Arabidopsis thaliana: one gene and its partners. The protein of the gene in region 2 interacts with the protein of the main gene of each other region in a biochemical or structural test. Each region holds a gene or a part of one and is shown on either strand. Other genes may lie near its edges. The genes, in order: NBR1, ATG8F and APG7.

Region 1 (3,755 bases), 3.4 Mb from region 2:
ATCTACCAATAAGGAGGTCCAGGTTGAGCAAAATCCGAATAGTATGTTCCAAAAGAACACAGGGCAGGGTCGACGGTTTGGAAGAGGGCAGGAGTCACAAGGAGGTTGGGGTTTACCGGCGCAAGAGAATATGCACCATCACCATCAGAGGCCACCTTCAAACAGAGATAGACAGAAGCAAAATCTGCATTATGAATACAAACCTGTTGGGTCTCATACTTATGATGGAGAACGTAGTCGAGAACAATCGAAAGAGAGTTCTCAGACAGAAGGTCCAAGATACAGAGAGAAGGGACAGGGGCAGCAAAGGCAGGGTGGATACCAACAGCAAAGGGGTACTAGTGGGAGAAACGGTGGTCATGGATTCACTGGTGATAGAAACTAAGATTGGCCTCTTATTGTTATTTAGGTAGTAAGAGCTGCCATGCTGAGGATACTTGCATTTTGAGATATGGCGATTGAGGAAGCTAATTCGTAGGCACATAGCTTGGGAGATTGCTGAGAGGAGACCTATCCGAGGAGGTATTGGCAGATTAAAAAAAAAAAGTCTTTGTCTTGAGAGTTTATTATTATATGTTTCAGTCACTTGTTTGAATATGATTATAACTACTGTAGTAGCCTTTTGTATACACTAGATGAATACTCATGAGTATTTTTGTTTTTAAAGTTGCTTAAAAAAATATGATTATGTTTTTTGGTTGATTTTGATGTTCATTTTGATAAATTCCTATCTATTTAATATAATTTTTTTATTTTATGATTAGATTTATCTATAACTCGAAATATCAATTCTAGTATAATATATATATTTATATCTATTATTCTAATATTTTATTGTCATGATCACATATAAAAACAATATATGATATATTGATACAATGTATGCGTTTTGAAACTTGTCTAAATTAATTGTACAAACAATTATTTATTCCATATATTCTCTTGTCATCAACTACACAATCACATCATGATATGCTAGTAATTCAAGTCACACTTTAATTCTTTTCACTTGCATATAGCCATATAGAATCTCATATTTTTTTTTTTGTATGTCGAATGTCGAATGTCTCAAATGACTATTATATTATAAAATTGTATATCAATGTTACTAAGTTATTAGAACGCACCAAAATGTACAGAAAAAGTTCATATGATAAATTATATTCACAAAACGTAATAATAAGAAAATATCTAATTAAATTTACTAAATTTATATGAGGTTAGGTAGCAAACATAAGAGTTTTAAGAGTTTGGATTTTGGAATTGGTGGTGTTTGTTTCTCAAACTTCATAAATTAGAGTTTAAAATGTTTTTTTATTTTTTGTGGTCGGCATAAGAGTTGAAGTTTTAATAAAATAAAATAGTATCTGATCATTTTATTGGAGAAAACATAAAAGATGTAGTATTTTATAAGAACTCGAATTGGTCAATTTTCAAAATGTTAGTATGAAAAATAAAATATCTAGTTATATGTACTCGTATCTCTTGATATTTTTGGCTTTAACTTAGGGATGTTAGTTTGATTTGTCTTTCTGGATAAGCCAGTAGTAACCAAAAAAGTCAAAATCTTGTTGGCTAAGTCAGAAATTAATTAAATAAACAAAAGGGCCCATTAAATTAATTATTTTAATAAATATTCTGTGTAATGATATATAGTATAAAACGCGACCGTCTAAATTCTTGGTTGTTTACGAGAAAAGCGGATTACGGGTACGCTTCTTCTAAGATAAATCTCTCCCCGATTCTCTCTTTTTCTCGCTAGATACTCTTTTTCTTCAATTAGGGTTTCTTCTCGCTTGCCTTTTAATTCTCTCCAGCTGATCTGATCTCCGTTACCGATGGAGTCTACTGCTAACGCACTCGTCGTCAAGGTTAGAGATACAACCTTCCTTTCTTTATTTGCGAATCGTCAGTTTTCTCACAGTAATTGTCGGTGATTCTGGGTTTTCGTGGCGATCGTCTCGTTTCTGTTGATTTTGTTGCTTGTAATCGGTCCTTTCCTTTTGAATTTCGCTATGGATCGACTCTCTCTCTCTCTGTCTCTGTATTATAATCTTAAGTGTAATTCGAAAATTTTCCAGACATACTTAGCAGTATCTGCTTGAATCTTATACCCGAACAATGATTAAAACTATAAGTTATCGTAATTAGAATCGTAATCTATTTCTTCGACAATTTTTTTTCATTTTTTTCATTGAAGTGATACTAATTTTGTTTGTGATTATGTAGGTGAGCTATGGAGGTGTGCTTAGGCGTTTCAGGGTGCCTGTTAAAGCTAATGGACAGCTTGATCTTGAAATGGCTGGTCTTAAGGAAAAGATCGCTGCTCTCTTTAACCTCTCTGCGGATGCTGAATTGAGTCTGACTTACTCTGATGAGGATGGGGATGTGGTTGCCCTTGTTGATGACAACGATCTCTTTGATGTTACTAATCAGCGTCTTAAGTTCTTAAAGATCAATGTGAACGCTGGCGTGTCCACTAACTCTGCTGCTCCAGAGAGTAGTGGGAGTTCCACACCTGCGGGTATGCCTAACCCGGTTTCCAAAATCCAGAAGGGTATAAATGATGTTCTGATGGCTGTACCTAACCCGATGCGTGATACCATATCAAAGGTGTACATGGACCTTGCATCCAAGGCCTCAACTTCTAGTCCTGTAGTTGGTGAGATGCTTGATTGCATTTCCAAGCTAGGGCAGCTCTCAATTCCTCAGGAAAGTAGTCCTTGCTCACCTGTTACCAAGCCTGGTTCTTCAGGTGCTTCCCTGAGCAGGGATGTTCCTTCCGCTGGTGGAAAGAAGGATATCTCTGAGAGGACCCAGACCGGAAGGAAACCTGTTAATCTGAATGAACCCACTGGCGCTCATTCAAAGACTTCTGGTCATGTACCAAACTCGTCTGGACTGGGTGCTAATTTCAACGAGTGTCCCTTTAGTGGCAGTACCATGAATTACTCCTGTCCAAATCCAGTTAACCTCAACAAGCATCCTCGTCGTGTTTGTCATTCCAAAAAGAGCACCAATGGTGATTACTGGACTTCATTGGGTGTATTCCATAAGGGCATCCGTTGTGACGGATGTGGAGTTCTTCCAATTACTGGGCCTAGATTTAAGTCGAAAGTGTAAGGATGCCTTCTACTTACTACTTTAGAAACTATAAACATGCTAGAACTTATTGTGCTTATATGTTTCGCTTGTGAATATTGTGCAGTAAAGAAGACTATGATCTGTGCACCATCTGCTATTCGGTGATGGGTAACGAGGGGGATTACACAAGAATGGATAAGCCTGTATCCGTTCAACATCTGCATCCTTTTAGAGGACCGTTTACCCAAGTATTGCTCTTCTTCTAAGTTTATAATTACTTTTCTTCTTGTTTATTCTATGTGTCTTCTCTGATAGCTATGAGGAATTCTTACCCTTTTTTTTTTGGTATAGTTTCCTAATCCTTGGTTGAGCCACCCTGTGCCACGAGCAACCAATGGAGGTGCACCTCTCAGGTGTACTCGCCCTAAACTAGACAGTCGGTTTGTCCTTGATGTGAATGTAATTGATGGAACCGTTGTTGCTCCATCCGCCCCATTTACTAAGATTTGGAAAATGAGGAACAGTGGTTCGCTGGTGTGGCCACAGGGCACACAGATTGTCTGGATCGGTGGGGACAGGTTCTGCAACTCCTTGTCAGTTGATTTACAGGTTAGAAACAATTTCCTTAGTTTTCACTCTTTTAGCTCGATTCTTACCACTAACAGAGCAAT
Region 2 (3,755 bases):
CTTTGACCATTTGTAAATTGTTGGTTGCATGTTTATACTGAATTAAACATTTGCTTCGAATATTTTAGACCAATAAAAATGGTAGAAATATTTTGATCGGTTGACATTTTTGACCGAGAATAGTGGTCGAAAACATCTTACCAAAAAGTGGTCAAAACTTAATGACCAAAATAATGGTGAATATTATTTTTTACCAATTTTCGACCATATATTTCAATCTGACTAACTTATATACAAGATTGGAATATAAGTATAAATCAAAATTCAATTTAATTCTTAAATATTTGATTCATAATAACTTAATAAAAATAAAAATATAATTTAAAATACACAAAAAAACAATACTTTTATACAAGAAATCAATTTTAAAATTATTTGATTAACAAATTTTAAAAATATTTGAGTTTTTGTTTTCCTTAACAAAGTTACCATGTGACTAATATATCTCTCCAATCTTAAGAGTTGGAGTTTGAAACTCTTCTTAACAGAAAAACTCTTTCATGAATGCGGTAAATCTGGAGCTACATGTATAGGTATGTGGAATGCATTTATATCAACCTTAGGCACAAATAGTGAATGCTTCAAAGCAATCCAAGTCTTTGAGAACATTCCTTCCACCTTGATCAAAACTCACTCAACATTTTGGAACGTGATGGTAACTTGTACACATGCTCGACAAACTGAGTATGGGCATTATCTTCTTGCAAGGATAGTCAAGACTCTATGGATAGAACCAACTATTGAAATAATGGGGACATATTTAGACGGCTTGGCTAGAGGAAAAGTGATTGATGAGGCATAACGAGTTGTCAAGACTTTGATTTTCAAGCCTAACTAGGAGATTGCTGTGAGTCTTTTATCAAAGTACAAAAGCCATTCAACACCCATTGAGTTTGCTAAACGTTTTGTGAGGTACCTTGAAGAGAAGAAAGTCACCTTCTACATTGCTGGAACGACTTATAAGGTACTAGACGAAGATGGGGTGGAGTGGAAATCTAATGTCAAGATTAAGAAACAGAAGAAAGGAAAATCCACAATCCACTCCCATTAGAGCAGTTCAAAGTACTATATATTGCTGCACAGCTAAATCATTCGTCAAAGGCATTTCTTAACCATGCTATTTGACCTGAGGTTACGAGAGTAAGGATATAATTGTATTGATTGTTTTGAAACAGTGAAATAAACATGAAAAAGTGCAGTGAAATAAACATGAAAAAGTGCATACTCCCACATATGTGCCCCATATGCTCTAACAAACTTGATAAGTGTCATACGTAGTGAGATACCCTTATATTTTTTTTAGCTTTTTATATACTATTGCTTACAAACCTTATTAATATAGTTAAATAATTAGGGTGGGCATCGGTTTGGATTAAGTAATGATTTTGGATAATGATTAAAAAATAATTTTGATTTTTTTTTCAACTTCAGAAAACTCAATCTTAACTTTTAAAAATGTTTATGTCTTTTCACAACTATAATATTTTATATCTATAAGTAAAAAACTTGTTAGAAAACTTATCTTACTTTGATAAAAGATTCATTTTGATTAATTATCTTTGTTATCCTGTAAATTCTCGGTTTTGACATTAATCACTCAATTCCGGTATTTTAATAAATTACAAAATGAGTTTTGTGCAGTGTTGAAGATATATTCTCAAATACAGTAATTGCTTTCAACCCTTGATTTCGAAATGCCTAAGCTTGAAATCCTAAGCTGTCCATACACCAAGACCTACATCTCCAGATCTCTATAACAGTCATAAAAAAACTTCTGCCTATACTTTATTTATTAGTTTTCATATTTCCATCCGTTTATTTGCAAGGCCCATTACTGCACTAGGCCCTACATTTTGTTAGAAGAGGCAAAGCTTATAAGCGACATTCTCAATTTCCAACTATTACCCTTCCGAACTCTTCACCTAACACACATTTTCTAGGGGTAAACGTGTCATATCGTATGCAGAAACGTGATCCCAGCATATCCGGTTCTTCTTTATCCTTTGTTGGAGGCAATATCTACGTAGACAGTTACCTCGTACACCTTCAGTAAAATGGACGGTTGAGATTCCTATTTCAGTAAATAGCTAATATCTACCGTCAGATTCTCACTGAACAGATTAAGCATACAACGTCAGCTGAAGTGTTTAGATGTTACCATACACCATCTGTAGAGAATCTCTGACCTTATCGCATAATTTTTTAATGTTTTGCAGAATTTTTGTAGGTTGCTTATTTGCTTTTTCTTTCATATTTTTTCGTTAATTGTTGTTGTTATCTTCAACGATAGCGTTGTGCTCTGGAGAAGTGTTTGATCGCAGAAAAGCTTCGTTCTTTGTAGTCTACAGGTTTGATCACTGAGTTCTTAACTTCTTTTTTGGTTTGATTGCGATCCTGTACTTTCGTTTAGATTACTTAAAGGTTGGGTCTTTAACATGATCGACTGATAGATTTGTGGGAATTTTGATAATCTGAGTTCCAGAGTTTGGGAATTGATGATTTGATTTGAGTGTTAAATTTGTTTTGATGGTTGTCTGATTGGTGTCACCTATTTGTTATGTGTGTGTAGGCGTGGAAGGAATGGCAAAAAGCTCGTTCAAGCAAGAGCATGACTTAGGTTTGGATTTGAGCTTTGTTCTTGCTTTACTGTTTGGTCCTCGAAATCAAAACCTTGTGCTTTGATCTAATGATCCTGTTTCCTAAATCTTCAGAGAAGAGAAGGGCAGAGGCTGCTAGGATTAGAGAGAAGTATCCTGATAGGATTCCGGTGAGACTTTCAGTGTCTCTCTTATACATTGATCGATCATACATTTCTAAAGTTATATGTGATTAGCATATTGTTTCCCTTTCTATGTTCGGATCAATCTTTTGTGTTTGACTGAGTTTATGCAGGTTAAGTTGTTGTGGTTTATGGCCCAGCAATATGGTAGTAATGAACTTATTGGGATATAATGAACTTATTGGGATAGCATCTGGTTTTAAATGGACACCCTACCCGACTAAAGGATGGTTATCAAGTTATTATTGTTTGATTAGCTTCATGCTTGTGATATATGTTTGCCACTGTTTCAACTACATGGAGTTGATTGAGTTATAGTGACTATAACAACATTAGGACTTTGAATTTAGTTGTCATTTTTTGGAACGTGACTTTCTGAAACTCGATTCTTACTGAGTACTTACGGCTTAGATAAGTAGATTTGCATGATTCATGTGGCTACGTGCTTTATGATTCACATGGTAAAAATGACACTTGAGATGATGATTTCCACGCATTTATATTTTTGTGGGATCCAGGTGATTGTTGAGAAGGCTGAGAAGAGTGATATACCAACCATCGACAAGAAAAAGTAAGCATATAAATGGCATCAGTATCCTTTTCATTCGGACCTGACTTGTTAATAATAGTGATTGATAACTAAGCTTTTTTCAAATTTGCAGGTACCTAGTCCCGGCTGATCTGACTGTGGGGCAGTTTGTGTATGTCATTCGCAAAAGAATCAAATTGAGTGCAGAAAAGGCTATCTTCATATTCGTGGACAATGTTCTTCCTCCAGCAGGTAAACAGATAGATCTCCTCTGTATTCAAGACTCAGGAGTTTCATTATCTTTTAACACAAGTAACAAGAGCATAAGAAGGCGTCTACTTATATGTTCCCCGGTGATTATAAATTCTTTATATTTGGCTGATCTGATCTGGTAACTTTGCAGGTGCGCTCATGTCTTCTGTGTACGAAGAGAAAAAGGATGATGAT
Region 3 (3,755 bases), on a different chromosome or scaffold from region 2:
CGCGGATGTGAAGGAGGAAAACAATCGCTACGTTGTGTTCAAAAACAACGTCGAACGCATTGAACATTTAAATAGCATTCCTGCCGGAAGAACTTTCAAACTTGCGGTAAATCAGTTTGCTGATTTAACCAATGACGAATTTCGTTCCATGTACACTGGTTTCAAAGGTGTCTCGGCATTATCTAGCCAAAGCCAAACTAAAATGTCGCCGTTTAGGTACCAAAACGTTTCTTCTGGTGCTTTGCCGGTTTCTGTTGACTGGAGGAAGAAAGGAGCTGTGACCCCTATCAAGAATCAAGGCAGCTGCGGTATAACTCAAATCTTTATTCATATATATATAAGTGAAATCAAATTGAACCAACCGAAATTTATGTATTCAATCAATTTGAGTTAATTCATAGTGAACAAACCGATCCAAACCAAATCCATAGTGTAACTGACCGAATCGAATAACCATATTTTTATTAAATTTTTCTATGTTAAGTTATATATATTTTGTTTCATACCGTTTTATTGAGATATGTAGTTAGACACATGAAAATATTTATGATAGTGACACTAATGAGTGATGTTTTTGTAGGATGTTGTTGGGCGTTTTCAGCGGTTGCGGCTATTGAAGGAGCAACACAAATAAAGAAAGGGAAACTTATATCTTTGTCAGAACAACAGCTTGTTGATTGCGACACAAACGATTTTGGCTGCGAAGGCGGTTTAATGGATACTGCGTTTGAGCATATAAAAGCGACTGGCGGCTTGACAACTGAGTCAAATTATCCTTACAAAGGCGAAGACGCTACTTGCAATTCCAAAAAGACCAATCCAAAAGCAACTTCTATTACAGGTTCACTTTAGTTAAAGAGCTGGCATATAATAATTAAACAGATTAAACCGATTTTTAATCATATTATCCAAATTAATAAACATTACTATACTAGATAAAATTCATATTTTGAATCTTAAAAAGCTCATGTACGTTCACATATCATAGGTTATGAGGATGTCCCGGTTAATGATGAGCAAGCACTGATGAAGGCAGTGGCACACCAACCGGTTAGCGTTGGAATTGAAGGAGGTGGTTTTGATTTCCAATTCTATTCGTCTGGTGTGTTCACTGGAGAGTGCACTACGTATCTTGATCATGCAGTAACTGCGATTGGATACGGCGAATCTACTAACGGATCAAAGTATTGGATCATCAAGAATTCATGGGGAACAAAATGGGGAGAAAGTGGATATATGAGGATTCAAAAAGATGTCAAGGATAAACAAGGACTATGTGGTCTTGCCATGAAAGCTTCTTACCCAACTATATGAATTCAAAACCGTGTTAAGCTTTTAATTGTGTATGTTTGTGTGGGATTGATGTCTAAAAATAATTTGAATTGTTTTATGTAAAAAAATTGTATTTAGACTGTTGTATGCATTTTATGAAATTGTAAGCTTATGTAATGCAAAGGATTGATAATTTTCGAAATGTTTCTTTCAAATTTCAACGGTATTAGCTAGGGATAATTTGAAGCATATGCACAATCAAATTCCACCAAGTAAAAATGAAAATTTGTTAAAAAAATGAAGTTTGAAAACTCTTAACCATTTACTGAGAAGACTGTAATAAACCGAATTTGGTTCAGTTTGATTTTTATGGAAAAAGACGAACCGTCCGGTTAATGCTTTTTACTTTTTTAAAATAAACCGGTTTTGGTTTGCTTGGATATAAAGCCGACCCGACCCGGATTGACCATGTTCCTTGCACGACTCCTTTTTCTCACCGTTCTCCGTCATCGTCTTCTTCTTTCTCACATTCATTGACTCTCCTCCATAATAAACATTGCAATCTCTCAGAAAGATAAGATCAGCCATGGCTGAGAAAGAAACTCCAGCAATCATACTTCAATTCGCTCCATTGAACAGTTCCGTCGACGAAGGTTTCTGGCATAGCTTCTCCTCTTTGAAACTCGACAAACTCGGAATCGATGATTCTCCGATTTCAATCACCGGTAAACACACAATCATCGAATTAAAAAATCATCCAATGCATCGATTTTTATATATTATTCGATGAGTCTATGCATTCGAGCTCTTATGATCCGTTTAGGTTAGAGAAGCAAAAAAAAAAGTTGAAAACTTGAAAATCCTCTGTTTTCTGGGCAAGTTGTTATGATCCGTTTAGGTTAGAGAAGCAAAAAAAAAGTTGAGAACTTTAAAAGCCTCTGTTTTGTTTAGTAGAGATTATTCAGATTTAGAATTTATGTGCTTTTTTGGAACTGAAATTTTCAGGTTTCTATGGACCATGTGGACATCCACAAGTCTCAAATCATTTGACTCTTTTATCAGAGTCATTGCCTTTAGATGAACAATCATTGATTGCTAGTACTAGTCATGGAAATAGGAATAAGTGTCCTGTTCCTGGGATTTTGTATAACACCAATACCGTTGAAAGCTTCAATAAACTTGACAAACAAAGTCTGCTAAAAGCAGAAGCAAATAAGGTAAATACAAAACTTAGCTCCGTGACTTGGTTTTTACTGGTTCTTGTCTGCAGAAGTTTTAACAATTTTGTTGGTGAATTTTAGATTTGGGAGGATATTCAATCAGGAAAAGCTCTTGAAGACCCTTCTGTGTTACCAAGATTCCTCGTTATCTCCTTTGCAGACCTTAAGAAATGGAGTTTTCGGTATTGGTTTGCGTTCCCTGCGTTTGTACTTGATCCTCCTGTAAGTTTGATTGAATTAAAGCCAGCTTCAGAGTATTTTAGTTCTGAAGAGGCTGAATCAGTATCCGCTGCTTGTAATGATTGGCGCGACTCAGATTTAACTACTGGTACTCAACATTCTTGTTCTATTTTTTACTATTAAAATTCAAGGAGTGGTAGCTGAAAACCTTTTGTTACTTCTCCGTGTTTTGCTGTAGATGTTCCATTCTTTTTGGTTTCGGTTTCTTCTGATTCAAAAGCTAGTATCAGACATCTTAAAGACTTGGAAGCGTGCCAAGGTGATCATCAAAAGGTATGTGTTAACTAACTCTTCCATATGCGTTAGATACAGAAAAAACAAAATTCACCTTTATGTGTCTCTCTTCCTGCAGTTGCTTTTCGGTTTCTATGACCCGTGTCACCTTCCTAGTAATCCTGGCTGGCCACTTCGAAACTACTTGGCACTGATTCGCTCAAGATGGAACCTCGAGACAGTTTGGTTCTTCTGCTACAGAGAGAGTCGTGGTTTCGCTGACTTGAACCTTTCTCTTGTTGGTCAAGCCTCAATTACACTTTCATCAGGTGAATCAGCTGAGACTGTACCTAACTCAGTGGGATGGGAGCTTAACAAAGGGAAACGTGTACCCCGATCCATTAGCCTTGCTAATTCCATGGATCCAACAAGGTACATTTTTGCTCTGTGTCAATGATCTACTCAACTAAATGGGTAAAATCTGATTAGACAAACGGAATCACGTTCTTTCGCAGGTTGGCTGTTTCTGCTGTCGATTTAAACTTAAAGTTAATGAGATGGCGAGCATTACCGTCTCTTAACTTAAATGTATTGTCCTCTGTCAAATGCCTTCTTCTTGGAGCTGGTACATTGGGTTGCCAAGTTGCTCGTACCCTTATGGTACGTATTGAAGAAAATGCGAGATTTGACATTATTTTACAAACTCACTGATTAACTAAGAACTCGTTTATCTTTTATTTTCTTAGGGTTGGGGAATCCGCAATATCACCTTTGTTGACTATGGAAAAGTTGCCATGTCTAATCCAGTCA

The links.
Region 1: the proteins of ATG8F (region 2) and NBR1 form a complex in vitro, tested with the Arabidopsis thaliana proteins (one study listed by BioGRID).
Region 3: the proteins of ATG8F (region 2) and APG7 form a complex in vitro, tested with the Arabidopsis thaliana proteins (one study listed by BioGRID).

The regions. Positions count from the first base shown.
Region 1 is NC_003075.7:12,739,353-12,743,107, forward strand, and holds the start of NBR1 (ubiquitin-associated (UBA)/TS-N domain-containing protein / octicosapeptide/Phox/Bemp1 (PB1) domain-containing protein), read left to right. Parts: upstream 1-1,679; 5' UTR 1,680-1,838; coding exon 1,839-1,871; intron 1,872-2,229; coding exon 2,230-3,119; intron 3,120-3,208; coding exon 3,209-3,332; intron 3,333-3,435; coding exon 3,436-3,693; intron 3,694-3,755. Other genes in the region: MOS1 (modifier of snc1), read left to right, coding at 1-385. UniProt on the Arabidopsis thaliana protein: Autophagic substrate degraded in the vacuole by non-selective autophagy. Requires ATG8 protein expression to be recognized as an autophagic substrate. Acts probably as a receptor for autophagosomal degradation of ubiquitinated proteins.
Region 2 is NC_003075.7:9,306,939-9,310,693, reverse strand, and holds the start of ATG8F (Ubiquitin-like superfamily protein), read left to right. Parts: upstream 1-2,155; 5' UTR 2,156-2,348; exon of another isoform or gene 2,349-2,569; 5' UTR 2,570-2,580; coding exon 2,581-2,617; intron 2,618-2,711; coding exon 2,712-2,767; exon of another isoform or gene 2,768-3,204; coding exon of another isoform or gene 3,205-3,297; coding exon 3,298-3,350; intron 3,351-3,441; coding exon 3,442-3,560; intron 3,561-3,711; coding exon 3,712-3,755. UniProt on the Arabidopsis thaliana protein: Ubiquitin-like modifier involved in autophagosomes formation. May mediate the delivery of the autophagosomes to the vacuole via the microtubule cytoskeleton.
Region 3 is NC_003076.8:18,613,446-18,617,200, forward strand, and holds the start of APG7 (ThiF family protein), read left to right. Parts: upstream 1-1,729; 5' UTR 1,730-1,858; coding exon 1,859-1,997; intron 1,998-2,277; coding exon 2,278-2,489; intron 2,490-2,573; coding exon 2,574-2,820; intron 2,821-2,910; coding exon 2,911-3,005; intron 3,006-3,084; coding exon 3,085-3,377; intron 3,378-3,460; coding exon 3,461-3,605; intron 3,606-3,691; coding exon 3,692-3,755. Other genes in the region: SAG12 (senescence-associated gene 12), read left to right, coding at 1-308, 581-841, 989-1,314.